Linked DNA regions of Styela clava. Each later gene encodes a partner of the first gene's protein in a complex. Links are inferred from orthologs where the notes say so. Each region holds a gene or a part of one and is shown on either strand. Other genes may lie near its edges.

Region 1 (17,164 bases):
GAGGGAGGTGGTTCAATTTCCGCGCAACATTCGCGATTAAAAAACGGATGACGAGATTTCTGTTGCGTAAAATATTCAATCCATGACCGATGCGAGCATTTAAAGTGTCTCGTCGTTATAATGTACTTGTGCTCATCTTTACTCAACTTTGATTCGAGATTACTATTAGGATTACTAAAATGAAAGAATACTATTCTAATAACATAAAATATGTGATAAACTGCCAACTGTAAATAAATTGGAGTCGTATATTTGCGATCTTGGGATTTGTCAAACTTGATTTGTTCTTCCGCACTTAAGATTATTATTAAGCAAGATATCGCCGTTCAAAAAATCACAATGTCTGGACAAAATACGAACAATTGAAATTTATTTTATTGCATTCGGCTCCGTCGGTAGTTTCAGAATGAAAAAAGGTACATCACGGATCGCGCGCACAATTGATTGCGTGCGGCTCCGTCGGCAGTTTCAAAATGGGTAAAAAAGGTACATCGCACGCACAATTGACGATTTCGCAGTTACTACGATGAAAATTTAACATAACAGCAAATTTTGTGATTTACTATGTCTATAAAAGCGTTTTCAATCTGAGGTGAGTCTGCTGAAACCAAACATGTGATCTTCCATTTTAAGTTTTAATATTTTGGAATGCCGCTTTTCAATCAAGAAATTTGAGTTGCGGATCTACCTCTTCATTAATTATTATTTTCAGCAGTTCGTTGCCGATGACTATAAAATGGTAACATATTTTTCACATTGAACTCATAATTCCCCACGAGAACAAAAAAGCAATTAACGTCGTCCGTCATTGTGTAACAATACATTTATATATATGCCGAGGGAAATTTTTTTTAGGGAGAATAAACACCGGCGTAAAGATTGTAGGTTCAAATACACGCCGCCATGCTGAGGAAAAAATCGGCGATTGTAACAAAATGCAATCGCGCACATTATTAGCGGCCTTTTAAGTCTTCCAAAAATGTCAAAAGATTCGAACCCGAATTTATTAGTATGTTTGTCAAGTGTCAAATTTACAGCTTTAGTATATATAATTTATGTTTGAAATTTAGATATATTTATGACTTGTATTAACTCTATTAAAAAAGGTTCAGCATTTAAATTGAGTAAAGTACTTTTAACTTGCTCAAGAATATTAATCTGAAAGTAACAATTTTAACATTTATTTTGGGGCTCCGTGAATAATAGTCCACAATTTCAAGGGCTCCGCGACACCAAAAGTTTGAGAACCCCTGGCCTATAGGTCTAAATTGATCACCTGATTCTATTGCGCACTCAAATGAGTCTTTAACGTTATTGCGATCGTGAAATAGATATGCATGATATAAAAATGTAAACTGGTATAAAACTATTTCCTCGCAATTTGTTAACAATTTATATCACAGTTTTACACTAAAACGTTTTTGTTTAAGGCATAAAGTTCTTTGTGAATTACAAGATCGAAGTAATAATGGCTATCAAGTAATCAGTTTCCAAGTACAGAACTGCAATTGGTAAGTTATTTTTTCTAATGGGTTAGTTGATTGATAAAAAGTTATGAAATGTTCTTGCAGTGTAGCCGTATTACGTAAACGGGAAATTTTATCAGGATTGCAAGTGTTTCGTATTTTCTACAAATTAACGCGTTGGCATTTATTACTATCTAATTTCCAAATCTTTTCGACGATCACTGGTTTTCTTTACGACCAGCAAGTCAGTTTTACCAGTCGAAATAAGTTTACACTGCAATATAATAACGTGTACTAAAACGCTTATTCATCTTAAAGGGATATTTCGAATATAACCTGATCGAAAGAGCGAAAAAATATTGACAGCTGAATGAGCACTTTTTCGCGGACAGAACTACAAATGGTGAGATCCTGTATTTCTGCTTCATGTGGAATTAATACAACTGATCCCTTTTAAGAAATACATTTAGTACAGAAAATATGGTACTTTGTTCCAAGTCGATAGTTTGTATTTATTTCACATGAATTCGTGCTGCCGTAATTTCCACTGAAAACAACAGATATATTATGTTATACAAGGTTCTATACCGTGGCTCTTCTCACTAAGTAATTGATTCCCGATATTTTACGGAATTATAGCTAGCCAGGACAATGGATATTTTGTTTGGAGGACGGGGTGTGCGGAGAATTCGAAACCTAATCAAAATCGTACTACACCAATGCTACTAAAAGTAGGTTCCTATGATCTTACAGTGTAAATTCAAATCGTACTACACCAATGCTACTAAAAGTAGGTTCCTATGATCTTACAGTGTAAATTCAAATCGTACTACACCAATGCTACTAAAAGTAGGTTCCGATGATCTTACAGTGTAAATTCAATCCTTGCGTTTACGTTTTTTTTCTTTATCAATAATGTCCAATAAGACCGTGACCGTCTCAAATTCAGAACAAGTTGCCTTGAACAAACTCCGTATAACGTAACTAAGCGTAACTAAATCGAAATGACCAGACCCCGTTATTCTGTTCATCGTAAATCCACCTGTACTATTTATCCATTGAACTTGTAAGATATGAGTTTCATTTTATTCTTATTTCAGATACCGATGAAGAAAAAAATGAACGAACCTTGGTGACGGAAGAAGCTGTTGCTCCTTTTTGCGAATACGAGAGTGTTTTGTATCGTAATTAATGAAGAATACGAATTTTGCTAGTTTAACGATGTTTTGCACTTTTTTTAAATTAAATCTAATAGCGCCTATTCGAAGTATGTTTCGACATTCTCCTTCTTAAATGAAAACTCTCACCCAAATTCGTCTATTTATTATGACCCCCCAACATAACATTCGCCCATTATGCGTCACTAGCACCAAACTTTCCGTTTTACATTTTTATCATGAACAGCAAATGTTGAGAATTAAACAAAAAATAATTTAAAAACGAAAGTAAATTTTGAAAGTTGAGCAAAAATTCAGATGAACTTTGACCTCCCCTTCCCCTTGTGTGTCGTTGATATAAGCATTGGTTTGATACTAACATAGTGTCACCACATCTGATTCAGACCTTTCTTTTTCAAATTAATAACATCGCCAGTGTTTATTTGAAATTTTGTCATAAACTAATAAAATGCTGCATTAATCCATGTCAAATGGATGATTATTTCTTTTAATATTATTTTAGTATTTAAATTCCTACATCTGAATAATTGCTTCCTTCTAATTATCTATATTTTAATATTGGAACTTTTCATGATTACTACGTGTTTCGCTGTGGTATCTTAATTTCATCAGTTTTTTTCTTTATTGCTTGATTTCTGAAATCTTGGAAGTTTTATTTATTGGAGCAATAAATTGTTTTCGAAATCTTATAAGGTTATAAAATTCTGTTGATAAGATCAGGGAGACGGAAAAAAAAGTACGCAGAAGGTTACGGAGCCGGGTTCCCTGGAGCGGGTAGGGTGCGAGCGGAGCAGCCGGGGCCAAGGAGCGGGCCATTTTTTTTTTTTTGAAATTTGGTCGTAAATATTTTATGTTCGGCCATATATGGGCCAATGATAAAGGCGTTATTTTATGGTAAAATTATCTTTGGCCACACTTAATCGGTGATAATTTTTGAAATTTTGGTATTTTCAAGGGTTTGTTTGACCTAGGAATTTATCCGATTTCTGCCATTTTCGGTCCACAAGGTCTGTTACTTATGTATGAAGTTTTTCACGACCTGACTGGACAACGGAAAGATTATCAAAAATCGAGATGGACTAAGTCCGTCTTCCAGCTTGATTGTCTTGCCAAGTCGACCACGCCTATTGATAGATAAGTATTAGAGTTAAATTAGATAAAACTCAATACTTATATGGTGTAGTGGTAAAAGGGGCTACAGGTCGTTTTTGAGTCCAAAGTTCGAATCCGACGCTGACTCTTAAAATATCTCTCAAACTCAATCTTCAAATAAGCACACATGATGATATAAAAGTGACGTCAGGAGGGGCTAATTCCGATGAAAATGACAGGAATCAAGAAAAATCCTAGGTCTGACCCTTAAAAATATCAAAATCCGAGAAATTATCATCGATTAAGTGTGGCCATAGATAATTTTCGGGACGAAAATTAATTATCATTGGCCAAGTGTGGCCACAGATAATTTTAACGTCAAAATGCCTTATTATCATTGGGCCATACATAGCCGAACATAATAATTTATCTTTGGCCATAGATAAATTTTTTAGAAATATTTTTTGGCCGCGCTACCCCGTCCCGCCCGCGCACCCAGCGATCAAAAGACCCTACAGGTCTCATTGTCTGTCGCTTGTTAAGCTAGCTAAACTCACTTTCTGCCCACATTTTATGAAGCTTTGAAAAGTTGTGGCTTATAAAAGTTTATTTCTTTGAAGTGCAAGATAAATCAAAAAAAAACAACAAGACGAAGTTCAAGGTCATCAAGATAACACTTTCATCAAATAGCGAGAAAAAATTAATACAGAATATATATAAATCGGCGAGGAATGAAAAAAATTTATATCAATAAATCGAACAAATATAGATGAATTTTAGCGCACACTTCCACAATCATAGTCTCTAAAATGTTTTCAAATACATGCAGTTGTTTATTTTTTCACATACTTTACATCGAGCAGGGGTGATATGTATATAAAACATGAACATTTCGAGCTAAACCGGAGCTTCACGAATACAGACAAAACTCCTTGATATTAATCTCTGGACGATTAGGATAACTATTTGACTGGACACCCTCATCTCAGAATCAATTATCAATAAAAACGTATCAACTAGGTTCTCATAATTGCAACCGAAAACTTTACGTAAAGGGCTGTTATCGAAACCGCTTTAGTCGTAAGAATTGTAAAAAAATTGGAAAAAAAGGACATCTCATTTTGCAGAGTTCTTATAAAGCTATCGGCACGATTAGAATTATTGATAATTTATCTGCTTATATTTATTTTAATACATTTATTCCAATAATATTGGGTTATAATGGTGCAAAACAACTGTTTTCCGTACTGTAATGACTTAAATTGCTTCAGATATATAACGTGTCATAAAATCGAATTTTTTTGAAATTGCAAAGAAAATTTATCATTACCATTTTATTGTTTTGGCCCTCAACAGATGTATTAAACGAGATAAAAATATCTGAACAAATTACTGATTAAAATAACAAACCTGGTTAAGATATATTGAGAACTTACTTTATAAAGAAGTTGTAAATGGACTATTCGGACACCTTTTATCAGACTTAGTTCAAATCGATAAATTTGGAAAGCAAGTCAGTTGGGACAAAAGATGCTATACAAAATCGTATTAAAAATACTGCGAGAGAAAATTTCTACATGACATAAAAATTCGTTAACGGGCATATTTCTCAGTCTTCCATATTAAAATACATTACAATAGGAGAGTTTAACGATTCGCATTACACCAGACCCTAAACATTGTATCTGGAGATCTCGAAGCAACATTCTCTTTGTCACCAAGGTCGTACCGTTCATATCCTGAAAAATGAGGATTAGTTATTAGATATGAATCGATAAATTTGCATGTCATTCTTCATAATTATAGATGAACTGGGCAGGCAAGATCAACTTTGCAGCCAAGGGCAACGTTCGTCGATCTTGTCCGATATTATTTGGCTCAAGTTATTGTGACAAAAAGTCATAAACGGGCAACTTTTTCACACATCTCTATTTGAGTGATGAAATATAGGACATCAATTTATTCGGAATTTATATTCATTTTTACAATAAAAACAATGTTATTGCTTAATTATGCATTTTTTTATTATTGTAGAAACTAGTTTTGTTTTGGGCATAACCCATAACTAAATTTCTACACGAATTAATTTCAAAGTTTTGAATAATAACTAAATTTTTACTTTTAGTAATACTGTTCTGAATGTTGTAGATGTGATCAAGTTATGATCAAAATTCGTCACATTTCTACATTCCGTCTCATCACATCAGAAAAAAAAATAAGGTAAATTAAATTTCCGAAATACTTGGTAATTTGACTTACTGTAGAATATGGCGTACTTAGTAGCTCCAAAATTAAAAATTTGGTGACTGGCGGTAGTGAAGGAAAGCAAGTGGTACCAGAATAGCTTAAATTCTAAACGAGGAAAAATTAATATTGTTGTAACTTATAGAACTCATAGAACTTATAGAATAGAATTTATACAACTTTATTGGGAACTGAGTATCATATTTTGCTATTCAGTGTATAATTGAGGAAAGAGATCGTGGGTATTAAGGAATTGTGAACCAGAAAATAAACAGCAACCATAATAATTAGAGTTTGTCGTCTCACCGCAGTAAAACCTTTAAAATTAATTCTATAACGTCATTCAGCTGAGTGTGACCAAGAACTTAATAAACATCCAACCATAGTCGAAAAATACAACTCACCAATTGCAACAGGTAAATTAAATTACCATAATTTCTTCATTTTTCAATTCATACTGCAATCCCGATGTGCCTGAAATAGGAAAAATCACCAAACAACGTGACTATGGAATTTTTTGACATTTTTAGTAGAGCGCTTCAATTTAAAGCACTGTGCTTCACTGTTATGTGTGTAGGATCTTGATAGATAATTTTAGTTGAATTACGTCGAAAAAGTTTTTAAACCGCCATACCTTCTCTCTCCTGTTCTTGATATCGGGCGGTCGGTCTCTGCCTCAAATGAAGCAAAATCTTCGATCGCCGTCCTTTGTCGGGTGCAATTCAAAATTTACATTTTGCTATGTTCTAACTGTAAAATTAACAACTCTATTCCTAAGTTTAGTCTACGTTAGTACATCTGTAAAAATAAATTGAAAATTTGCGGCAAGGAAATGAAAACCCTAATATACGAAGTTCACAAAGAAACATAAAAACATGGCGTTGAATTTGACAAGACTGCTTGCTTTTTATATGTAAACATGGTTTGCGTTGATACCATCCTACTACCATTTACACAAGTGACCGTATTACCATACGAGGATACACAACAAGCTAGAAGCGAAAGCAGGGGCATTAAGTACATTCGAACCACGTTACATCTAATACTTTTGACAACAAAATTCATATACCAACTATTGTATATCATTCGCTGACTACTGCAGACTCGTGCATTATCGTATATAAGATAACAGTTACCTTACCAATTCTTAATCGCATCCCTTCGCTTCTGAGTTCGACAATTTCAGAACTTGGTAATTCAATACCACTTCGCAGACATTTGAATCAACAATTTTATGTCTAGTCTTAGGCTTAACTGCAATAGTATAGTTGTGATGATTTTCAAAATAAAAATAAAACACAAAGAAAACGCTGTAATATAAGATGGGATCGATACACGAATAAAGAATTGGAACGAAAAAATTTCGAAAAGAATGTTTTAACCCAAACAATTTAAAAAACGTCAGAAAAATATTACAGGCAAAATAGCTCTAGAACTCGGCAAGGCCGTATTTCCGTTAAGAAAAAAATCGTCTTTTCTATTCCATTTCCACACCACTAGTTCTGGATGTCACAATTCGAAGCCTGAAAAGTAAAAACGTGTTTGGTATATTCCAACAATTGGTATTCCAAAGGTAGTTTACTTACACATCGGTTCCCGTTATCTTGATTTGGTTGGGCCTTCCGTAAAGTCTTTATTGCGAAATTTCTCACCAACAATCATTGTAGTATACTATGTTATGGCCTAACTGAACGAATAATTCTTAATCTAGCTTGTCGGTCATTGGATCTTCGTTTTGTTTCAGCAATTTCTCCTTCGGATTTCGTGGAAAATTAAACCAATAATTATAGGCATAGGTTAACTGCATTAGTGTATATCACTGTGAAAGAACGCCAATAATAGTCCGTTAGCGAAATAATGATACGTGGCAAGAATATTGAACAAACGTGGACAAGCAGACCTGACACCTGACGACGTCAAATCCGAAAAGACCTCGGCGCGCTCAAACATTACGTGCCAAGAAAAACATTAAATTGAATATAATAAAGAAACAAAAATTGCTGAAGAGACCACAAAAATTGAACATGAAACAACACCCTCAATTTTATGAATAAAATTCCTGAAAATTATTAGAGACGATTTCAACTCGAACGGGTTTCGAATACGAGACGAGATCAACGTTCAGGTTACTTTGGCATGCGTTTTTCGTTTTCTGGTCTACTCGCAATAGGTTATGTTGCACATTCAAGGTGACTATATTGTCATTATGCGCATTTAAGGTTACTGTATTGTCGTCAACTTATGAAATTTAAAAATTCTTGGACAGAGACGTAGTTCCATTGGTTTTCGGTTTTAGTACTATTTTGATTTAGAATGCTTGAATAAAAACTAGAATCCTTATTCTCATTTCAGCACTTAGTGGCGAATTACAGTATATGATTCTTTGTCTCTACAACTATTAACATGACGAATATAAGAATTTGTCTTCAAATTTGGAGAATCAAAAATGGAGATTTAGTATGACATGCACATTTGTGCAATTGTTTCGTCATAATGAATTATCATTGTTACCGCATGACTATTGTGACGTCATAAAGGCAAAAGAACCTTGGCGAAGTATTTTCGAGTTTTTGCATCTCGGATTCTAGCTTAGCGCGTATTAATTTGAATTTATACTACAGTATAGGAAGGCGTGCACTTGTGATATACACTGTCCGAGACCGATTCACCTTGGTTGGCTTTAATATTGGGTGCATTGCTGTTTTATTCTTTATATTTCATCTTAGTCTTATTTCGGTGGGTGTGCGGAACATGTTATATTGATGAAATATATATTTTTAAACATAAAAAATAATGTAATTGAAACTGATTAGCTATTTAGGGGATTAGACATTGTAGATACTGAGAATTACATTCGTTTTTGGAATGTTCAGTTTTCAGGACTGGTGCATATAAGTAAAGTTGCAAAATTGCGTGTGTCCCCAAGTCACAGTGCGCCATTACGACGTCACTTAACTGCGTCATACAAATTAACCTAAATTCGGCTACGATAAAAAAAATTGAACCATGGAAAATTATTGACTCTCAAAATGGCATAACAGTATCATTAGGAAGTTTTTAACGTTTTTCTCAAAACCGCTAAAAATGACTCACGCAATTCGGTTATTAGCGTGACGATATGTAAAACAAAAACTGAATTAACTGACTGCTTGAGCTAGATTCATATAATCGCGTAAATATTATTTTTGAAATACCATGCTCTTCCCCCCTTCTGAATCAACAACATGGGCATTCTATTCTATTTATTATTTAATCAGGGCTGCATAAGCCGTGGTCAGCGGGTCGTATGCGTATTTCATAGATTATACAAACAAAACAAGCAATAATAATGACATAGATCTTATCTCACGAAACTAACCAAGCGCGGCATATCATGAAGATTCGATTGCTGCTAGTGAAAACAAAAGTATCTTAAACAAAACGTAAACAAATAATGAAAACAACAAAGATGCTCACCCGGCAGCGACAATTTTGAAAAGACCTTGGCGATCGGTCATATCGTACACGTGTCAAGAAAAAAGCTCGGTTATAATAAAGAAAGAAATGGAGAGCAGAGGACTGTAAAGCATTGAGCGGCGATTGGTTCGCGAGATATTGCATCGCGCATCAACATTCGAGAAACATAGGAGCTGTGAGACGATGCTACCTTGTCGTCAAAATAGGTAGACATAAATATACATATATATATACTCAATTCAACACAAGTCAAACCAGTAACTGGGTATGTCGGGAGTGTTGTTCCACAGGACAATAATGCAATAATACTCTTTTGCTTTTATTATCATAAAATTTTATAATTTCCTATGATGGATAGCTCTTCCGTTTTTCTATTGCATATAATTTAATTATTTAATTTAAACAGGACCGTCCGCTAATCATGCATTGAAACAAAATTGACATTTGTTGCAACCCTAATAAAAGAAAACCCTAATATTTTCCACATGATATGACGCCGAGCAAATTCAATCAAAGAAACAGAGCTGTTTTATAATATTAAATATTACGCGTATCAGATTGGCCATAATTTGCAATGTTATCAAATTTTTTAGGAAATATAACTAAGATATATAATATTCTTCATCTCACAAATATTCTATTAACATGACTCGCTCATCTAGGACTATGGCCATTGTTCCAGATATTTGTCCAGTTGATCCATATGCCTTGCCTACAGCCCAGTAGACGTAGTAAATTTGGATGTGAGTTTTGATTAAAATTTATTGCAAAGTACGGCAAAAAAAAATAATTTATTTAATTATTAAACGAAAATAGAATGATACATTACAAATATGACAAAGCCACCGGAGTCGACTCCGATATGTCGGTTATTAACAAGGGGAATTCCCATTTTATAAGTATGGAATTCTAATAAAAGCGCCGGCACGCTTGTATTCCGTATTCCATGTGATATAAATATTAAAACAAGAGAGTTTCATATTCTGTTTCTTTAAAAATGGAGCACAATACAACAGAGGTAATTGAAAATGCAGTTTTAACAACGCCAACAGTAGAGGAAAACCGTAAAAAAGCGGAATCCAACTTCGAAAATTCAGAAACTGCAAACATCGAAATTGCAGATATGGAACAAGAATATGAGGACATTGGAAATAATATTGAAACACAAGAATCAGTACCAACAAGTCAAACGCCATCACTTAATCCTGAAACAGAAAAAATGACCACAGGACCCAATGTTATGGACACATCTTTAGTAGTTGAGAAAGAGGAGAAAAATAACACAGAAATCGATCTTTCTACTGCTAAAAATGAGTTACTACAATCGTTTGATACACTGGAGACCACCAATATTTCTGTAGTACCATCCACAATTGGTGAAAAAGTAGTTGCACAGTCGCTTGAAACAACACTTCTTGCATCTTTCGAACTGGGAAAGGGAAATTTTTTTAAAGGATGCAAATGGGCACCAGATGGATTATGTTTAATGACTAATAGTGATGATAATATAATACGACTTTACAACACTCCAATGGAAATTTTATCTAAAAATTGGGATAAATCACCTTTCAAGATCGAAGTTTGTTTAAAGCTGAAGGAGGCCGAAACTATATACGATTACACTTGGTGGCCTCGAATGAACTCTATATATCCTGAGACGTGTTGCTTAGCAACAACTGCAAAAGATCAACCAATTCATCTCTGGGATGCTTTTAATGGTGATTTACGAGCGAGCTATATTGCAAAAAATAGCGTTGATGAAATTACCGCTGCACATTCAATTGCTTTTAGCCCTGATGGTTTACAAATGATATGCGGATTTACAAAGTTAGTACCGCAATTTTACATAATTTGTATACAATCCCAAAAATTTTTCTTCAAGAGATTTTTTGTGTGCGATATATCTATAGCCTACTTCACTATCAAGCCTACATATTGTTTACTTTGATTTGGCTCCGCGGTGTGGCGCATCGTGCTTAGCATTAGGAATATGCTCGCCACTGCACTTCTGATTACCTCACGTGGGTTCGCAGGTTCATGAGCGAGAGGATTGCTGGATCGCCGTCATAGGGTGGTTCACATAACCGCTGGTAGGTTACGGCTTCCCCTTGACATCAAGTCCATGCTTCCCAAACCCACGAGAGACCGTGGTTGGACATATGATTTAGCCGTCTAATCACTTTCCTCTCCCCCGGGATAAATATGTAAATCCTATTCTTTAATACGTAATTTCAAACGAGTGTCTGCTCACTAAAACTTCCAACTTTCACAACATTATTTAGCTAGTATTGATCTACATTTACATTTATTCTACTATTCCCTATTATACATTCCTATGAACAAACAGAGCATCTGATTTTTATATTCCAGAGAACTCCGGTTATTCTACATTGATCGTCCAGGAGACCAATGTGAAAAATATCCGACAAGAAAACACAAGCGAGCATCAGGACAACGAGGAATTATATCAACATCAGAATTTCATCCAGATGGTTCCTCCATTGCTTGCGGTTCTTACGACGGCACCGTTGCGCTATACAGCTCTAAAAATGGAGAACTAATAAGCATATTTAATGCAAAAAACAAAGGCATAACACAAGTGAAATTTTCACCAGATGGAAATCGGCTGTATACTGGTTCACGTAAGGACAATGCAATCGTTTGTTGGGATGTCAGATTTCTTAACGGAGATTTATTTCATTTGGAGCGAACTGTCGATACAAACCAAAGGGTATATTTTGATTTGGTATCGGGAGTTTTAAGCGAAGAAATATTGTCAGAAAATACAGTGATATCTGGTGGTACAGACGGCTTTATATCATTCTGGGATGCTAAATCTGCGCTGGAATTTGATCTTTCACACACCACCATAAAACAACCCTTTTACAAATTCAAATCGGATAGAGATTGTACTAATGGGGTTCATGTTCACCCATATTTGCCCGTTCTTGCTACAAGCTCGGGACAGAGACACTACGGTGAATTTTCAGATAGTGAAAGCGAGGATGAATCTATTGAAATTGAAGAGAATATGTTAAAACTTTGGCATGTTGCTGGATTGTGCGATAAATAAATTTGATAAACTTCATTTCACAGTAAATATGAAATTTATTTAAAAACTTATGATGCATGATGTGTGGTAAAGGTGGTAGAAACACAGAACTAACCCTGAGTTAATGAAAAGTCCCTCCGATCCCATATGCTGGATGGGACCATTACAGCTGCAATGCGATACGAGATGAAAGGGGTATTACACTACCAGTTATTTCCATTATATAATTAATATAGACTTGGGATGAAAGAAGAGAGTATACAGGGATATATATATATGTACCTGTCTTTTTTTTAGATTCAAAATTCACAACATTTGTCGACGGAAGGAGTTTTAATTAGTTGTCCAACCCTGGCTAAAAGTGTACCCTAATTGAGGACTCCTGTTTTTGTTCATAGAATACGATTTAAAAACGATAATAATTTTGCAAAATTGGTAAAAAAATCAACTATATAATGCTTTTCCATAGATTCAGATGAAACGATGTAACATGAATAAAAATATAAGTGTATGATATCATATGAATATTCAACACGAGTCAACACCATCCTATCATAAGTTGTCAAAAGAACTCAAATTATCTATAAAAAACTATTATTAAATACTTGGAGATTTGCATCACTAGATAAAACAAAAATCAGTTTACTTGATCTTAATTGAACTAAATTAATTTGTCTATGTCAAAAAAAAAATTCAATAATTTTTAGTTACCATATACCCTGAGAAAATTTTAAATCAATGTCAGTAATAAATCTACCACTAACTAATGAGTGCGCCATTGTTGTACTAATACTGTGTACTATACAGATTTAACCATTTTTGCAATTGCGCAATTAAAAGTAATAATAAAATAATCAATAAAAATCACAGAATTCACCAAAAATACAAATAAAAAACCATGCTTGATGAAACTAAAAAATTTGATTTATTTAAATAGAAAATAAGTTGAGCACAGAAAAGCTAAATGAATGATACAAAACCTGTATTCATAATTAGATAATATACAAATTTAATACAAAATAATATACTGGGTATTAAGATAAATCAAAGTTGTTTTTTAGTTAGAGTTATATTAGATGATTTATGTCAGTATATTGGACGTAAGGATATATGTGATTTCAAAAAAGACGGAAATAACATATACAGACAGCGTTCACCCGAAAATAAGACCTAACCTAAATTTTAAATATGATTTTAATATAATCCCTCCACTTAAAATAAGACTTAGTCCATTTTTTTTTGACCGACTCGATAGCAAATATCTCCGCGTTTTAAATGAAAACATGTTATTTATAAGTAAGTGGATATTGGTTTCCATATTTTGTATATTTGTAAATCTTGTAATTATTTACTTTATAATTTTGATAAATGACATCTTCCAAAATAGCACCAGTGCACTGTTATTTTTCGAAAGAAAATTGAAATAAGGTCCTGTCTTATTTTCGGGGAAACCTGGTAGTTACACTAGACACCAAGCATTTTTATGTTTGTGGGTATGTTGTGTAATGTACTATATTTAAAAACTCAAATGGAAGCGTTCAGGTAATAAAAAAGTTCAAAAAATTTCATTAATTTATAAAAACGATGGGTATAAAAATTAGTAAAACATATCATTTTTATTGTCATATCAAGGCATATTGAAGAAATATTAAACAAAAGTTTAATTATGATATCTATAGAATTGCCAACACATCCACAACTTATTATGTTGCAAATAAAATCATAGTTATATTCATAAATTTCGAAAAAAAAAAAATTTCGAATATACCCGCGAGAAAATAGGGTGCATAATACTGGAACTAAAAAAATGTTCGAAAATCAAGATTTACACTTGTACTAAAATTTGTTCAAAATCACGAATTACGCAACAACAATTAACCAGTAATTTCAACATTATCAAATTCATTGAAAGAAACCTTTTCAGAAAAAATAGAACATATAAATTGATTTAGTCAGATTTTTTCAGTAACCCGATTTCTTCCGATAAGACTTTAGTAACATGCATTGCTTGTTCGGCTTCGTCTCCACCAATTTGATTAATAGCGATTTGTGCAGCTTCTCTTACCGATGATATTGTGTCATTTCGCCTGTAAGATATTTGATATTTTTCTCAAAATAGAACATAGAATTTAATAATTTCCCAATGGATTCCAGGAAAAAAAACTTGATGTTATTGCTGGTAACTCATGATATTCACAGATTATATATCTGTATGTAAGTTAGGGTTCTGTTCAAACAATTTATAAATGGACCTCTGGACTGTGTAGCTAAATTCTTGTGGTTATTGTCGACAAAAATCATGTTTCTCTGCTACTAAAGGATCAATTGATTTTAAAATTTCACTATCTAAAAATTTATTTTTTCAAATTTTCTTTGAGTGCCAAGAGCTCTAATATTTCATCGAGACTTTGCGTGATATATAAAAAGGGATCAGTTATTATTCCACCACGATAGACTGCCTAATGCTATAGGAACTTTACTGAATGTCATATGAAGATGTTCCTGTGAATTATAAAAACCATAATAAGAACAACAATTTAGTAGTTTTTTTTTTGTATCTAGTAAAATTGTTCTTACCATAACTGGACAAGTTTTGAAATTGACTTTTTACTTTTCAATCTTCCCAATGCAAGACATCCACTCTCTCGTACTAATCTATCTTTGTGATCCAAACATAACAGAAGCCTGAAACATATAATGTTACATATATTTGACAGTTTGCATAATGACAAGTAGGAACTATTTACCAGTTTTTGACCAAAAAATTTCTAATATTTAACTAGTTCAACAGTAACACAACATATTAATGAAATTGCTAAATGAAATTCAGACAAATTTTTGATTTGCCTCAATATTCGACCTCGCGCCTCTTCAGATGCACAATGTGATTGACTTACCCAATTTCAGCTCTCTTTTTAAACATTTTGATTCCACTAGCAGCATGAGCAAGAGATATAGCTGCAACTACAGTGATATCAGGATCTTCTTCACCTTCCAGTAAATCCAACAATGAGTCAATCACTGCTTTGGATTGGTACTTTCCTGAAATAAAAAAATGATTTTTAATTATTAATAAAAAGCTGAGTTGGACAGATTGTTACGCAACTGGAACATTGCAGATAAATTTTACAACTATACAATATGAATATATACAGTGATACCTCGGTAGTCGAACGACTTGATACTCGGACAATTCGGTAGTTGACCAAAAAATTATTACTCAAAAGATGTTATGTTCGATTACAGAGGTATCGCTTTAATTATAAAAAACAATATATTTTACAAAAAAATTTAACATCGTTTTGATTATAGTATTCTCCCATCTCCCATCTATTGATTAATTATAAAATAAAGTAAATTTATAATTCAAAATTCACAAGCCTTATAAAAATTAGCAAAATCCAACTCAATTAAATCCTAAAAATTTCTTTTGCATACAGCTTTAATTTAAATTTTTTTAAACATAATTTCTTCAGACATCCTCATGGTTGAGTTTTCGAATGTATTTGAAGGGAAGATGAAAACTGGTCAGACCAACCAGATCTGGTTATCGGGACCAGTATGGGATGGAAACCAATTTTGTACCAACTATAGAGCAATTTATTCTTGAACATGATATATTTTGTGACGAGCCCATACTCACTCAGATTTGCGATTGCAGACAATCTAACACTAGAGTTGACATTGAAGACTTCTTTCATTGCATATGTTTCCGCTGCATATAGTCGAATCGCTTGTGACAGAGGAAGAGTTTCTCTGTCTCTCGTGCAAAATCCTACAAAAATATGGTGTATTAAAGCAACAGTACACCAACAATCCACATAATGATAACAAGATGGGATAGAACAGTGAAGTTGATGGACCTAATAGAAAAGCTGTAACGAAATTTCCGATTCCAGAATGAGGAATTATACAAGAAATATCAGAATTAAAATCTGCACATTTGCGAGTCTGTCTATTCTAGTTGAAATAACCAGTTATCTAACTTTTAAATTCTTTGAAATTAAGAACGTTTTTCTTGACTGCCATTTCTTTGCTCATAAGATGAAGTAACAATTGTTTCTGTTGTTCAGTCACCAACATCTGTTTCCATACTTCTGCATATGTGGTGTCGACCGCTTGCGAAAATCTAGACAAAAACAAATTGATTAGTGGCGAACCTAGAATATTTGAGTATATTTAAACAATATACATATATTATAGATATATACTCTTGTTTTCCGCAGAGCTTCCATTGAAAACCGCTGGTCTTTAGCACATATTTTCCTGCATAGGATAAACCTCCAAGGAATTAAAAAAAGGTCAGCTTTTATAAAAATTCTTTTTTGGCAGCGGTATTTTAATAGTCTAACAACAAAAATAATTTTATATTACAAACTTAAATTTTTGTATGGATAAATTTTCAGTTTGATTAGCGAGTTTAATTTAGAGAAATTTCATGATTATTCACTTCTTCGGAATATATGAGTACTTACGAAACATTCTTCTATTAGCATAGGAAGTGTTTATGCCAAATAAAAACTACTTCCCGAACATAATACAATATTAAATCTTAGCAAATGCATAACTTATCTTTGGATCATACTTGATTTAGTATAATATACCATCATATTCTTTTAAAAATTATGGGCTTGTCAACAATCTATTGTGTGATTATAACGGATAGATTGTATGAC
Region 2 (16,242 bases), on another chromosome or scaffold:
CACCCGTGTAACTGAATTCAGGGAACACTATGAAGAAAACAATCCAATCATATAAGAGAAAACCCTGAAAATTTTCAAAAATTTTATTGACAGTATACAATTGCCACTATTCGAGGGAAAAGAAGAGCTTGGAAGTTGGAATGCTTGGAACCCATCAATATATTGAAAATAAAAAAAATTTCAGTCTAACAAGAGTATGTGGGAAAACACAATGTGAGGAAACACTCGTAATACCAAGCCAACAAGTTTTGGGATTGCTACAAACCATTCCTCAATCCATGACTCATAACTTGCAAACATATTTCAATCCATGATCGTGCAAGTATCATGCAACTTTAATGAAACTTGGATTCAGCATTTCAATATTGAACAATTTAGTTGCCTATTTATCATTTTTATTTGAAATATTTTGCAACTACTTAATAAAATTTATAAACTATATATTACTTTGCTTCGAACTAATTCATATTAAAAAATAAACTCAATAATCTGAACGGATGAAGACCTGCATTCAACTTTTCGATGTGGTCAAGGTACTAGGATATTATGTATTAACTGTAAGTATTTTCTTGTTGTCTGTTTCCCAACTTGGATCTGTATGTGACCATTGTCACAGTGATACTTGATAAGATAGTATTATAAGAGTGGCATAAACTATTTCTAAGAAATAGCATGTGTATTAGTAAGCTTGTATAAGATCATGGTCTAACTTATTCAGACCTAAACAAGATATAACTGGAAGTCAAAATACTTGTTCTTTCAGGTTATTATAAAAAAGTCATCTTGATGTGACAAGTCATATTGTTACATTCCTACATTATCTCGATTCTATTACAGAAACTTGCCCAACAATTATCATGATCTTCATAATTGCTGTTTTATTGCTTGGAGATAAGTCTCCTGTGTTTCAGAATGAATTTGTAAGACTCCAACTCCAACCAGTAGATGAGGTGAAAGCCTATCTTGTTGGTTGTTAATAACAGAATTTCCCATTGCCTTTAGTGTCAGGCTTAAACACCACAGCAAGTTTATTTCCTACCTTGAACAAGCGACTGTGTTGACAGCATGAGCATGTCCTCTTCCTACTGCAATACAGGTTGTTTTAAAAGTTTCTGGATTCATCCTCCACAAACGGATTGAGTTGTCCTGAAAAAATCATTGATAACTGAAAAATACAAGCATTAGGGATAACATTTGTTTGGATTTCATAATGTTGACAAGATGTATGTGAAAGTGTTGATGAACCAATGCTGGCACCTAGTGGTACAATGACACATTGTTAAAGATACACACTGTGAAACTAAACTAACTTCGTATTTTGAAAACGCGATAATCTGCAAAACGTATTTTGTAGCAAGCAACTAACTTATCATAACTGATATATATTCCGTTAAGTTTTATTTAACAAAGTTGTATTACACACCTCCTAATAATGAAAAAAAATATCTGGCCATAATTTGAATTTAATTCTGATAATTTAATCCTAAATGGAGTCTACCCAAAACGTTATCATAAAACCCATGCGAGAGAAGCTTTGGCTCCTAATATAACTGCCATGTTCTTTGGGTCTCTTATTTAATTTTAGTTCCGACAGATACCGTATATATAAATTTTCCATTAAGTTGACATATCCAGACAAAATGAGGAATGTTCGTCAAATCCAAAAACTGTTCAAAATTTTTCACTACATCTCAGAGCATCTATACATATAATCTTGTACCTTTGATCCGCTTGCAAGGATCAAACCATCTTTAAACACATCAAGGCATAGAACAGTGTCTCGATGTCCAGATAGTAGTTGGCAAGAAGATGTTTTTCGATCGAAAACTTTTACAAGAGGACTGTTAGTTGCAACGACAATATGACTGTCTGATGGACCAAAGAACCGAACATCTAAAACTTCATCGTTATAACCAACGAGCTAAAGAAGAATAGTAGCAAAAATCAGTAGTTTCTTGTAAATTAGTACGAATTTTCCTTTTGATCGATGGCTTAAAAAAAAATGTTTGAGTGATATTCTTATAAAATACTTAAAAAATATCATCAAGAATATTTGCAGAGCTAGTGCTATATAGTTTTAACAGAAGGCATCTCAGTTTGGCTCTAATTAATGCTCAACTATTATATTGAACCTGTCTAAAACATCTCTACTCAACAGACTTACATGTCTATCTTCAACAAAACCGTCATCGTAATTAAAAATGTTGATATTATGATCGAAAGTCACGGTTGCATATTTTTCAATATTTTCAAGATAAAGAAGATCAACAATGGCTCCATGTTCTGAGTCTGATTTAGTCTCTTCTGTTTCAGTTAAACGCTAAAAACAGAGTATGCGAAGTTAGGAGCAAGAAAGGGCACAAAGATATAATATACTTAAATGCATGGCCACCTGAGCATATACACATTACTATAACTGCTTGTGCAGGGCCACAAAGTAAAAGGCCTGTCTATATCTTCACATCGTTCGGAAAAATTTCGAAGCCGATAGATTATTTGAATAGTTTTGAAATTTAAATTCTTGATTTTACGAATAATTCAGGAAAGGGCTATTTTTATTTGAAAAAATTTCATTTCGATCAATTGATATCTCAGAGTTCGACCCAGAAGCTCTTGATTCAATTTCTGAACAATGTTAAAATAAAAAAGCACTTCTAAATCACTGAATCTCAACATTTCTGAACTTCAAGGACAAATTCAAATAAAACATTCGCAATACTATCTGGTATTTGTAGCTTATTGTTAGCTAGTTATTTTTAAGGTGTGGCGCGAGACTCGATCAATTCTAAAAAGGGAAGGGCCTCAACAAAAAAGGTTTGAGAACCAATGTTTTAGAATGTATTCAGAATAGGCCTAGTAGATCAATTGGCTTGGAGAGAAGGGTAGATAGAGGTAGAAGACAGATAAAATATTATTAATTGAACAATAAATATGCTTATTAAACGCTACACTTAGAACTACTATCCAACCCAGAGGTATCACCTTGAATTACATATTTACCTTTTGTGTGTATATACATTTCCCGGTTGATAAATTCCAAACTCTCAAATTTCCACTACTTCCAGCAGTTAAAACATGCGAAGATTCATCGGAAATTGCAGTCTTTATAAGTTTAGTAATATGTTGGTTTGGCAAAACTAATAATCCTTCAATAGTCTCATATACAGGGATTGTTTTATTTGGTTCGACAGTGTTTTTGTCTTTACATTGCGACAAGTCCCAGACACACAACACACTGTCTCTTCCTCCACTTATTAAAGATATTTGAGATTCAGTTTTTGTAATGAATGAAAGTGATGTAACTGCACTAACATGTCCATTCAGCATACAAATGCATCTGAAAACAGAGAACTAGTTAATAAAAACTGAAACATGAAAATTAAGAATAAGTGCAATCTTTGGCAATGTTGCCATATCAGATGAAATATCTCGGGATAACCCTCTGCGCACCACATCATGCAGAACTGGAGAGATTTCCAGCTTTTTAAAAAAAAAATTACATTTATATCAATGGAAGCTTGTTCAGAGCGTTATTCATAGCGAACGATGTGAAAGTATAATACGATGCTGTAATTCTTCTACTGTAAAGTCTCAGTAGCTTCTGTACCAGTGGTCGTACCAACTTCTCTAGTCGACGGGCCAGATGTTAGAAAATGAAGTTCCCAGCAGGCCGGATTATAACATGAATAGTATTCAATATCTTAATCACATATTTATTAACTAATGCAAGAAAGAAAATTATAAATCGTGTTTAAATTGAAAATTAAACTAGAAAAAAATAGAGACCAAAAAACTCATAATGAATTTATCATAATGTACTAAAAGTGTAATAATGTAATATCATAATGTACTGATGTACAGTCAGCGGGCTGGTCAAAATCTCGTCGCGGCCCATGCCCACCCCTGCACAAGACTCATCAAACAAAGTATCACCAAATGAATAAAAGATCATACCTGCTCGTGTGTAGATTCCATATTCTAATAACATAATCATTAGACGCAGAAAACAATTGTAAATCGTGTGGATGGAATTTCACAACTGATATTACACCTTGGGATCCTCTCAGATTATGAGTGCAATACTGATGCAACATATCCCATATTTTAATGGTACTATCACTGCTTCCTAAATAATGAATAAGAGAATAGCTAATTACATGTTGATATTTAGATATTTCAGTAGATTTAGATTCAGAGTATGTGGATAAAGGTGCAGCGTGAAAACGTACATAGTGTGGACAAAAATATTATCCAAACATAAAACCATTATTAATCAAGCCAAACTCACACTCATGTATAAAGCGAATTTTGTGATTAGGATTGCACAAAATAAATCTAATTTCAGATTGCATTTGAAATGTGCTTCATCCATCGCTTTGACCAATTGAATTTAGGAAATTGCCAATTTGTGCATTTCAGTTTTAAATTCGTTCTCCATTTTTTTTGAATTCAAAAATATTTCAACTTCTCATTAAACTGATGAATTTGATTTTGATAAAGTTTGCCAATGTAAAATTTACTTTGCAAAACTTCTTTCAAGTAGAGAGCAAACTATATATTGCATTGCTAAATTTCCTTTGAAATGTAAACGAGAATATCGGTAGGAGACCGAAGACTTATCAATCGAAACTACGGTTTCGATTCATGACTCTATAGTGACACCGTGTGTCCCATCACTAATTAATTAATAACTCGCTAATTTTATGACATAATTCATCCAAAATCAATAGGCTTCTGGTCCGAGATATGATGAATGCTAATGCAAAATTTGGAGCAGATTCAACCACGCATTCGTGAGATATCGTGTGCGTCTAACAGACAAACAGACAGACAGAAAAACAGACAAATAGGTATCAACATGCTTACCGATCTAAAGATCGATAAGTAACAATTTTGGGAGTTTTTTATGAGCTGTATTATCAAATCTTTTTATTTGACTACAATTACTTCTGTGCTCATACCTGTGGCAAGGAGTGTAGATGTCGCATCAAAATCCATGCACAGAATTGGTGAAGTATGAATTGCTTTCCATGTTCTCACACATTTTGCCACCTCATTCTCAATTTTCCATTCTTTCAGTAACAAAGATCTTGTGGCAGAAACAATGATGTTATTATCTGGACTAGATAAAATACAAGTGACATCATCTCCCTCCTGGTAAAAAACATAAAAATTTGAAAAATAGAAAAGCAGATTAAAACCAAGTCTATAGCAGTCAGTGGAGTCGGATTTAGGGGGGCAGAGTCCAATATGGATAACCCATTAGTCGCGGATCAGAATTTTCAAACTTTCAATGGCGATAAAAGAAGAAGTTTTCAAAGTAACTAAAACAGTGTTATCAAATGGGGCCTATAAAAGACAGCTTGTGTATACAAAGGCTTCCATATAAAATTTGATATTCTCGGAGTTTGGATTAGCTAAAAATTCACACCCAGCCCCGACTCCAAACGACGAGATATTGAAAAATGACTCCCGAAATGACAAATCATTTGAATCCAACTTTAGCCACATATTAGAAGAAATTTCAACTCTCCAGCTTCGAACTTAATTTTGTTAAAAGACACAATGCCGTACACGTTCCTTCTTAAAGTGCCCATTGAGACTGCTTAGTTAACTCAATGCAATTTGAGTTTTCCTAAAAATTTGTATCTCAATTATCATCATTAATAAGGGTCTAAAATGGGACTTGGACTCAAAAAAATTAGAATGTCAACTCATGTTCAATATCAAGAAAAATAAATAAGATGAACTCAAACTCCACAGATCTGGGTATGATAGTGATTATGAATTTGCTTGTTCACAATGATATAGGATTAATCATCATTCAGAAACCTGTCGAGTTTTTTCAGTTCGACCTCTCCAACATTATATTGCTGAAACAATGATAGTCTTTCATTTTTATTCATATTTAAATTGAACAAAAATCACCCCAACCTGAGACAAACTGTGTTTTACTTCTCCAGTTTCAATATTAATGACTTTGACAGAATCTCCACATGAACATAACAATGTTTTACCATCATTATGACAAACTACTGATCCTCCAGTGTAAAATGGCTCCCATTTATGCTTCACTGCAAAGCTAAAAAATAACAGAACAATTTAGTTATTAGAAAGTAGGAAATGAATAATGACATCGCGGGTTACACATTTCGGGTTCATATACCATGCCCACCACCTAACCCAAGGTGCAATAGATTGGGTGGGCAAGCAAAACTAGAAAGAGAACAATCTTTAAACACCTAAATTATGGACCATTAGTTGATAATAAAGTACAATTTTGCATGTTTTAAATCATTTTTTAAATAAGAGGAAAAAAACTTACTTTGTTTTGAGAAGCAGTTTTCCAGACAACTTTGAGTCCATTTTCAATGTCAGACACAAAAATCAAAATACAGGATAGGAAATTGATTCGCAATATTAAATAGATTTGAATGTGTCTATGGAAAAATGCATTCAGAAGATTATATGATTGAAATTTCAAGTAGTTAGCACATTACACCACTCTACACAAACAGCATGCTCATTGGTGCGAGTAGGCCTATAAGTCACAAATAAAAATAATTCCGAAAGAAAGATGGTCAGCCATTATTCACCACTTTACAAATCAATAAAGTACAAAAGATATTCAGTTAAACTCAAAGAATTGATCTCGTAGTTTCCATACACAAGTGGCTTGTCTAGAAATCTTTTCTGAATGAAAAATATCCAGCATTAACCCAGCATATGTTGTAAGCAAATATTTAATGAAAGGTGAATAAAAATGCTGCAATATCTGAATATATAATCACACAAATAAAGCAACAATTAAAATCTACTAAATTAAACACAAATTGGGAAGCCGAAAAAATGGCATTACTGGGGTTTAAAAGCATTGTGATAAAGAAGGGATATTTGATCTATCAATAAAACACACCACATGGTTATAGTGAAACATCCTTTTTCAGTGTTTGAGTGAAACTTTGAATATTAAAAGATTATAATTTCCGTTTCTGTGATGGTAAGTCAGCAAGACACATTGACAAGTAAAGTTCATTCTGATTTCTCAACACTGTAACATGCACACATAAAGCTTTTTGGTTGTCCCGATAAAAGTAGTGAAATTGTTAGTTGAGCTTTTACTATCCTACATATTCCGTTTTAAAAATGTTCTTTCACATCGCAGGCTTTGGTTGTTGGGTTAATAATAGTCCGAAACGTCTCTTGCAGGCGATTCTTTGTTTCGAAAACTTGTCATCTGGAGAAAACCTTGCCGGATGAGCAGACTGGGTTGGCGAACCATCAGGAGCGACCTTTTTCATGGTGTAAACTCGTTTACCATTATCGTCCAAATAATATTGCAGAAACATCTTTCTATTCACGGTAAAACGATAATGCTGAAAGATTGATTTCGGTAGCTTGAATGAACAGACAATAATCAGCAGAGCAAATTTTCAACAAGTCAAAGGGAATTTCCCCACAGCACACACGTGTTTTATGTCTCTGTCACTAGTAGACGCTGTTGCAAATTTTTGAGTCCGGCCCGGTTGCCGGTATCGGGCCTGCGCTACCAGTTGGGTAAATCAACTTATTTAGTTGAAACCAAAAAGCATAAAATGATAAATATTATAGGGCTATGCTGTTAAAAATACGATAGAATCAAACGGGAAATTTGAAGATCCAATCATAGCCGAGTAACGGCAAACCAAAATGTTCATTTATTCGACTCTAACTTTTTATATGTAAATACGTTTTGTTTTGTTTTCTGGTTGGCGTGTTTGGAGAAGGCCCTCTCTTCACGTTAATATTTTCATAAAGTTATAATCCTTTTTTCAATTGCCACTACAACTCAATATTTTCGTACGCTTTTAATCACTATTGCTGTATTCTCATCTCAACTCTCCGCTCAACCATTAATGATGGAACGATACTATTTTTACTCACTCTGGGATTTAGATTTCGTGAAAACACTTGGCATGCGCAGCCCACGGAACAGGGGTTGAAACCTGTGCGTTTGGGCGATTATAATCTCGGTATCAAGGACAATAAAAAATTTTTGGACGAATGACGGTCACTCGACTTTGAAGTCCCATTTTGTCGTGAGAGACAAGTGAAAATAGAGAACTAGCTTGGAGACAGCGTGTCCATGACTGGCACAGTTCTAGAAAAATTCGCCGTAGGAAATCTCGCCGCAAGAGCGTTTTGCTGTAAAACAAGTATTTGTGATAAAAAGTTAGGTTTTTGAAGTACTTTTTCATTTAAAAAAAATTGCTAAGGGCATGCCCTAACCCTATAAACCTGACCGTTTTTATCCCAAATACTTGTTTAACAGCAAAATGCTCTTGCGGCGAATTTTCCGGACACGGTATAGCCCACCTCTTCATGCGTCCAACCAATGAGAATATATACATCTTCCTTGATCCACAACAACGGTCAGCTTGACCACAGAAAGATTTTTCTATACATCTCACTCCTGTTAACTAATCTAATCTGGCAATCTTTACAAAATTATTGATGTGGTGTGGCAAATTTCTTTCTTTATTCGTATTTTTTTCCCCTTTCACCAAGTAATATATATATATATAGTTTTTTCTCTTTCAACTTTATTGTATCTCCGACACCGTGATTGTATATACGCGTGCACGTATTAATAATTAATTTAATGCTTTTGGGTTAGTGAACGCGCACCTCTCCTCTTGACAACACCTTTCAATCCATACGTTTTAAACCTAAAGGTTTTGTTTGCTCTCCCGATTCTGTTTATTCTGTTCTTATCAATTATTTCATCGTCTGTAATGTAGTCAAAATAAAGTTTTACTTATGAGTGGCACCAGTCACGTCTCACCAATCAGTAAAATGACATTCCGATATTCTGTACACAAATGGGATATTTCATCTAGCTCTAAGTTCCAACAGATAAACAATCTTACTCTCTCTGCGTCATTATAGAGATATCCCATATTTCTTACAGATAACGTTTTTGTGTGACCATGGGAAATTAAGCAATACGTTATCAAATTTTCATTCAAAAATTTGGCATTTGGTTTATTTTTTCAATATAAAAAAGACAGCGGGTTGTTTATTACAGCAATTACGAAACAAAACAAAAATTAAATGATGGCAACGATCTGTTAGACCCATATCAAACAATGTGATAATTATATTTTTGAAACAGAGATATGAGATTCACTGCACAAGCACCAGTAAGACATTCCAATGCACCACATTTGCATTGATTTAAAATCATATTTTTGTATTAAAAACATTTCCAGAACAACTCCATTGTTATATTTAAATGCATTTCAACTTCAAATCAAACTATTTCATTTATAACATTGACCGTCATTAAAATAAGCAAGAATTTAACAAATTTGAAATGGTTGAGTACAGAACCAGCAGTGAATAAAATATTGCACGATTTGGCAGAACAAGAACAATGGCTTTGATGATTTTACACAAAAACTGTATGAATAATTTACCTAATAATGATTGAACAAAACTGTTAAATAAATCTATTTCTGAGGACCAGAAGAAAACATATATATTTCAGATCAACTTGTATCGATTTGCAACATTTCTAAACCCTAAAATGCAGTTCGAAATGAAGTCTTTTGAGTCGTATTTTTGCAACTTGACTATGTCAGGTAAGTCAGATAATTTCAACTCGAAATAGAGTTAAATAGGATTAGCTTCGCAACATTGATAAAGCCTTAAACACCTTTACTATCATTCATTAATTCCTATTATTGAATTGAATTAATTAATGAATTAATTGGATAGTTACAGGTTTTACGTATTTTTACCAAACTCGTAGAAAATGAAAATTATTAAAAGTTGATCAAGTAAACCTAGAATATTGAGAATGACCAATAAAAGGTAATTTTTTATTGTTTATAAGACACTGGATGACCCATTCTATTGACACGACAGGAATCTTGAGTTTCTCCGCTCTTTCCATGATACTTTGATCACATGATGAATCAGCAACCACAACGTCACACGATAGAGAACAATCTGTAAAAAACATGAGAGATTTTATAAAACACTTAATTTGGTGTTATCAGTGACTAAAAAGAGCAGAAGCGTTGTGAATAACAAATAGGGAGAAAGAATGATTCGATTATGTTACTGGGTTCATTTACCAGAGGTGCGAAAACTGTGCAATGGGGGTGCGAGAATGCTGGGCCATTAAGTTTAGCTGAGAAATAAAGATAACACAGTGACAATGACAGCAAAAATGCATTGAACCTTCTGCCTCCCTGTAAAGACATGTCTTGCAGTAATTTACTGACTGGTTATAGATAAGGGCCCGAGCATCTGAAACAAATAACTGGTTAACTGGGCAATTTTTTAGGGTTGGACTATTGAGGTTTGGCGCTAGATGCTTTCAAGTCACTTCTTTCCGATTTTTTTTTATTTGCTGCTGCGTTGGTTTTTTAAAATTCCCAAGCAACCCAACAAAAGATTGTGGTTTGTCATTTGATAAGATTAACTCTCCCCGGGATAAATAAAAAAAATCGTAAGTTCTAATAGGACTGATGAGCTATTGCCATTGGAACCTAAATTGCCAGAGCATTGAAATCAATCAAACTTTTTGACTCGATTTGAACAATATTTAATTTTAATGCTTTTATCATACCAGTTTTCAATTTATCCTTCCTTGTTGAAACTGATATACAACCAGCAATGCACAGTAAAGGATTCCATGTTGCTAGATCTCTCATATGTAAACTGACACGAATACCAGACAGTGGTTGGATTGGAGATATTGGTCTAGAAAAGTTATGATTTAAATATAAATATTGGAATTTGGGCTGGGATACACTTCAGTGAAACACTTTCAAAAACGATAGAAAAATATGTGCAATTCTTATCATGCGAATACACATTAGAAAAGGGAATAATACTTGGAATGACAGAACTTGCAACCGTTAACCATCTGATAACAGTTAATCTAATTATGGTTACCGGTAATCCTAATTGGAATTCATCACCGAAAAGACAATTGTTGACTTAAAACAATGCTCCAAAAGTTTAAACATTGGGAGGCGCCCTCAGCTTAATTTACTATTCTAGATTACTTACATTGAATCAAGAATACCAAATCTTCAAATATCAATATTCTATTTTAAATTACAGTTTGATTCGATGGTGAGGAAGAACGTTAATGAAATTGAGGTTGAACTTTAACTAAAACATTGTTTACAACTCCTAAATTTATCCATTACCTTTCCACAATCCCCATATGTTGCAAACTGTATCCAGCGGGCAAAACATAGGATTTTATTGCTTTTAATCTCCCAGCATTTGTTGAATCATTGATCCAGATATAAGATATGCATTGGATTCCCGCAGCTAGTGCGTTGAAATAATTCATTGTTCGACAAAAATTATCTGATACGACGTAAAGCTCACTTCGATCACATGACATCTGTGAACAAAATAATATATCACAAATGACAACACAAGAGTTTTTTCAAGATATTCAGAATATGCTCAATTCGATAACTATTTGGTACTCCCGTAGTATGTGTACCAGCTGCCACGTTAGGGCAAAATGCTTATCCGATTTTTCTTATTTTAGTTATATTATGAGTTTGGGGACTGTTTGTGTTAGCCAAGTGAATATACCCCCTGCCCATAGGTTTCAGTCCCTTTACACAACTTGATGTAAAGTAGGCGACCAAAATTAGTTACCTCCATATTGGTACACACACTTCTAAGCGCCAACTATTCTTCTTTTTATTTAGCACATACCTGACAACCGGGTGAGAAAAAGATATTTAAAAACTCAAGTATATTGTTTAATAACTATAGATTCAACAAAAATCAAAAGCTATTTTGGAATTCTAATCCAACCCCAACTTCCTGTTACCAATAAATGCAGGCAGTCAAGTTGACTAGACAAGTATTAATTATCAGGCCTAAGTTTTGTCGACATAATTACACAGAGACAGAGCATATAAATCAGTTTACCAACTGCGTGAAATCCTTGACAACAACACCATCCCCAGCATTGATTTGTTTCTTCAACACTTCCCTGCGTAAAAGATTGAAATAAAAGTTGTTCACATCCAAACAAATATAAAATCAACTATCATCTCTCAATATATGGTCTTGTATCCACTTAGCCCCCTGTACAGAGCATGTAAACTGATATGAAACTCATGAGTGTCAGTATAGTCTAATTGAGCACACAGCAACAAAAAAGCTCCAAAGCGGTCAATTAGACTTTTGGCTGCGCAGATGATCACGACAGATAGTGACAATGGGCAAGCAAAAATGCTTCGGTTAGTGAAGAACCGTGAGAGTTACGATCCTGTAACTTCAGGGAAAACAGAAAAATATTGCCATGCTATGTACAATGTAAGTGAGGAAAATTAATAACTTCCAATACCTGTGGCCTTCTTTCAAAGAGTTCCAAAGAGTTTTCAATAGTGATATTTATAGCATATTTAACAATAAGAAGCCAATTTTTTTAATTAATTTAGTCATGGAGAACGATAGCTAGTGAAGGGCTTGTCCGTGTCTCACTAGGGGGGCCGAGGGCCCAATTTGAGAAACCCTGCTCTAAATTGCAATATCTTCAAAAATAATTACCAAGTGTTGCTGGTTCAATTTTATCAAAATCATGCAAACTGATCTTCACTAGTTCATCAGTTCCAAAAGGAAACAATTTTTGAATGTAAAGTTTTGGTAAACTACCTTAATCATGGTTTATTACAAGAATGTGCAAACTACTGCCCGTCAACGAATTTATGCACCCCCCCCCCCCTGCTCTTGGAAAAGGGTTGTGAACATTTTCAAAACTACATACAAAACTTGGATTTATTTTTTAACTTCATTTAAATTATCTAAACTATGATTTGTTAAGTAATATTAATGTTCAACAATGCAAGCCACAACTGTATTCGACAATATCATAGCGAATAGAATTAATAACTGTGACATTACAATCAATTTCTCAATGCAGCCCTTTGCCAAGAATATTTTCTGATGAACCCCGCCCTTCGCAAAAAAAAATTGCCCGCCCTGGTTTATAATATATTACCTGTCATATCCATAAATATTGGTGCAAGGAGGTGAATCAAACTCGGATGATGGATGATCTTTTCCTGTTGTTGAAGTCAGTAAAAATCCACATTTCTCAAATAGTTTGCTTTCTTTGTATGTCATGGATGCTAAGAAAACAACATTTATTTATTTAATCTATTTTTTCGAAGTGATTCAAAACTCAACTGTAAGTACCGGAAAAAAAATAATTAGCGCACATTGCAGCCAAATATATACAAATCAGTCAGATTTATAAAATTTAAAACTTCTGTAAATCCTTTTTCCAAACAGCAAATAAACCAACATTTCATGGTAATTTACCATTTATTCAACTATAGGCATTCACTTATTTATGATTCAAGTTGAAAATATCTGAATAGAGCAAAGTTATGAAGAAAGTACTTTTGTAACATAGGCAACACCTCACTCAGGGTGTTATAACTAGGGTAGGCAGGGCCAAACAGAAAAGATTACAGTCCTTCTAAATATAGATAATCCAAATAATTGTTTTTTTGTGCGGCATGACGCCTAGTTCACCTAAAAAAATAATGAAATATGTCAGTCATTATTAGAGATGGGCAATTTAGAATACCAAATCCGGAGGATCCGAATCCCAAAGTATTGAATTCCCAATGTTTAGGACATTTTCAATTGATACCGAAGAAAGTAATGCGTTTACAATTTTGCTTTAATTTCCAATCCAGCAATGTGGTGGGGAATTCCCGCTATTCAAATAACTATAAAAACAGAATACGATTCGGTATTTTAGATTTGATTTAAGTATTCTAGAATAGTAAATTATTCTACATTGCCCATCCCTACTCATTACTTATCGATCTTGATCGGTAAGTATGTTGATAGGTATTTGTCTGTTTGTTTGTTTGTCTGTCTGTCTGTTAGATACACGCGATATCTCTCAAAATCGAGGTTGAATCTGCTCCAAATTATGCATGTGCATTCATCATATGTCGGACCAGAAGCCTATTGATTTTGGATGAATTATGTCGTATAATTAGCGAGTTATTGATTAATTAGTGATGGGACACACGGTGTCACTATGGAGTAAGAGCAAATGAATCGAAACCGCAGTTTCTCGTTATTGTTTTATGATATCGCATAATTCACAGTATTACAAAATGGTTGATTCATCTGAAAATATTTTCACATTTGACCTCACCTTTAGATGGTGTATTCGAAGATTTTCGTTTTGCTGGAGTTCTTGGACTCCCGTAACTAAGTTTCCCTCGTTTTGATTTCTTAGTTGTTGGGAAAGGTACACAGGAAGATGACTCAGAAGATTCTGAATCTGCTCGACGTTTTCTTGAGGATCGAGGAGTTTTAGAAGTCGTGGAAGATGGCGTCCCTGGTCTGGATGCGGCAGGGCTGCTCACAGCAGAATCAGCTGCTCTTGACCGACGTGTACGTCTCTTACCATCCATGATGTTATCTGTTTGAAAAAATTAAATTCAGTGATTTTTAGAACTAAAAGAATACACACTGTAAAGTGGGCAAAATTTTTAACAGATCTTAGCTTAGATTAGTGCTCCCCAACCTTTCTACCCTGGCAGACCAGAAAAATCAAATAAAATGTTCTCTCAAACCAGCAAAAATTTTGAAATGGCTGAAACGAAAAAATATATTAACCAAGTAGTCTGTAACTAGGTGCCAGGCTCAAAATCATGCTGTGAAATTACTCTGCGCCAAGACGTCATAGGGCCATTAATAATACCACACTTATCAAACAGCAATATGACGGTAGAAGAGAAATTGCCTAATAAAACAACGCAACTTTGGTAAAACGATTGAGACAGCAGAAAAACAACAAAACTTATCATGGACCGGCAAAGAAGCTTCTCGGACCGGCATCGGTCCGCAGACCAGCGGTTGGAAACCGCTCTTTTAGATACGGAAGAAGTTGGCTAAGCTTTTTTAATTAATATCCAACATAATTATCCTCTTTTCACTTCTGCTATGCCATCATACTTGATTCTATCTAATGTTTTAACCACTGCGTGTCAATAGCTGCATTTTTAATTCATTTATATTTATCATGCTGATAGGAGTCGAAAGGAAAAGACTCGAAATCTAATCTCTTACCCATATTCTATTTTGCATTAATTATCCTGCCTGTCATTCAAATAATTTTTGAATACTGTTTAAAAGGCGGTTGGTGCATTGTGTCAATCGTTAGGAATAAGCTTGCCATTATACCTCTGATTAACCTTCTTAGGTTCAAGGAACCCGGCAAGAATAATTATGTGCGAGAGGTTTGCTGGACTTTTCGCCATCATAGGGTGGTTTACATAACCAAACCATAGGTCGAGTAAGACTCCATTCACCATTAAGTCCACTCATCGGAAACAAACAGCTGGCTAACTATTATGGATACATGAGAGGACATGGTTTGCCACATTATAATACCATCTTATTGACTTTCCTCTCCCTCAGAATAAATATGAAAATCCCATCTTATTACCAAATCAATAATGGCATCATACCCAAACTAACATCTGCTGTAGTAAGACCAGATGCAGGCTGCAGCTTCAATAACTTCAAATCGTTTGACAAGTTTTCAAGTTTTACAATAACTTGTTTCCTTGTGTACCTGCAAATTGGAAATAAAAGCAATGATGGAAAATAAAATTGACAAAAAATCTCTTTTCTACAGATAAATTAATATAAAGAGTCACAGTCTAAAAATGGCAGTGCAGCAGGTGTTCATAAAGTTTCAAAAATTTCCAAATTCTGTCATGCAGTCTGTTCTCAATATATCTTAACCAGTTTTTTTTTTTATTTCAATCAATGCTCATTTACTTGAGCTCTTTTACTTCCTTTAATACACTTTTTAGGACCACAACTAGTTACATGTACATGAAGTAAATGTCTTTTTACCTAATTTAATACAGGACTTCGTGAACATCCTATTATGCCAATTCTTTATAATTGCGCGAAAATTATATAAAAGTTTTATCTCACGAATAATAGGTAGGATAGGATGAGATTTACATATTTAAGATAGGATTCACAGAAAAGTTAACTTAATCATAATATGGCGAACCACGACCTCTTGTCCGGTTACCAGTCCATGTCGAGTATGGGATTAGTTAGCCAGTTATTTGTTTTCGGAGCATGGACTTATCCAGTTATTGAACTCTTCGATAACTGTAATACCAACCTTTTAGTCTTATTATTTCCGGCTGCAGGTTTAGT

The links.
Region 2: telomerase Cajal body protein 1-like (region 1) and H/ACA ribonucleoprotein complex subunit 3-like share a complex: the UniProt entries of both Homo sapiens proteins name them as parts of the telomerase holoenzyme complex. The link is inferred for Styela clava from reciprocal best matches to the Homo sapiens genes WRAP53 and NOP10.

What each region holds. Positions count from the first base shown.
Region 1 is NC_135264.1:10,543,870-10,561,033, reverse strand, and holds telomerase Cajal body protein 1-like, read left to right. Parts: upstream 1-10,337; 5' UTR 10,338-10,433; coding exon 10,434-11,263; intron 11,264-11,806; coding exon 11,807-12,509; 3' UTR 12,510-12,559; downstream 12,560-17,164. Other genes in the region: uncharacterized protein LOC120333624, read right to left, coding at 14,437-14,575, 15,066-15,173, 15,386-15,530, 16,132-16,263, 16,475-16,617. UniProt on the Homo sapiens protein: RNA chaperone that plays a key role in telomere maintenance and RNA localization to Cajal bodies. Specifically recognizes and binds the Cajal body box (CAB box) present in both small Cajal body RNAs (scaRNAs) and telomerase RNA template component (TERC).
Region 2 is NC_135263.1:5,480,814-5,497,055, reverse strand, and holds H/ACA ribonucleoprotein complex subunit 3-like, read right to left. Parts: upstream 7,467-16,242; 5' UTR 7,350-7,466; coding exon 7,155-7,349; 3' UTR 6,440-7,154; downstream 1-6,439. Other genes in the region: transducin beta-like protein 3, read right to left, coding at 1,040-1,146, 1,721-1,921, 2,165-2,320, 3,001-3,337, 3,955-4,126, 4,962-5,154, 5,935-6,082, 6,326-6,366; uncharacterized protein LOC120341376, read right to left, coding at 9,818-9,993, 10,619-10,752, 11,208-11,410, 11,956-12,019, 13,031-13,160, 14,210-14,479, 15,531-15,637, 16,208-16,242. UniProt on the Homo sapiens protein: Required for ribosome biogenesis and telomere maintenance. Part of the H/ACA small nucleolar ribonucleoprotein (H/ACA snoRNP) complex, which catalyzes pseudouridylation of rRNA.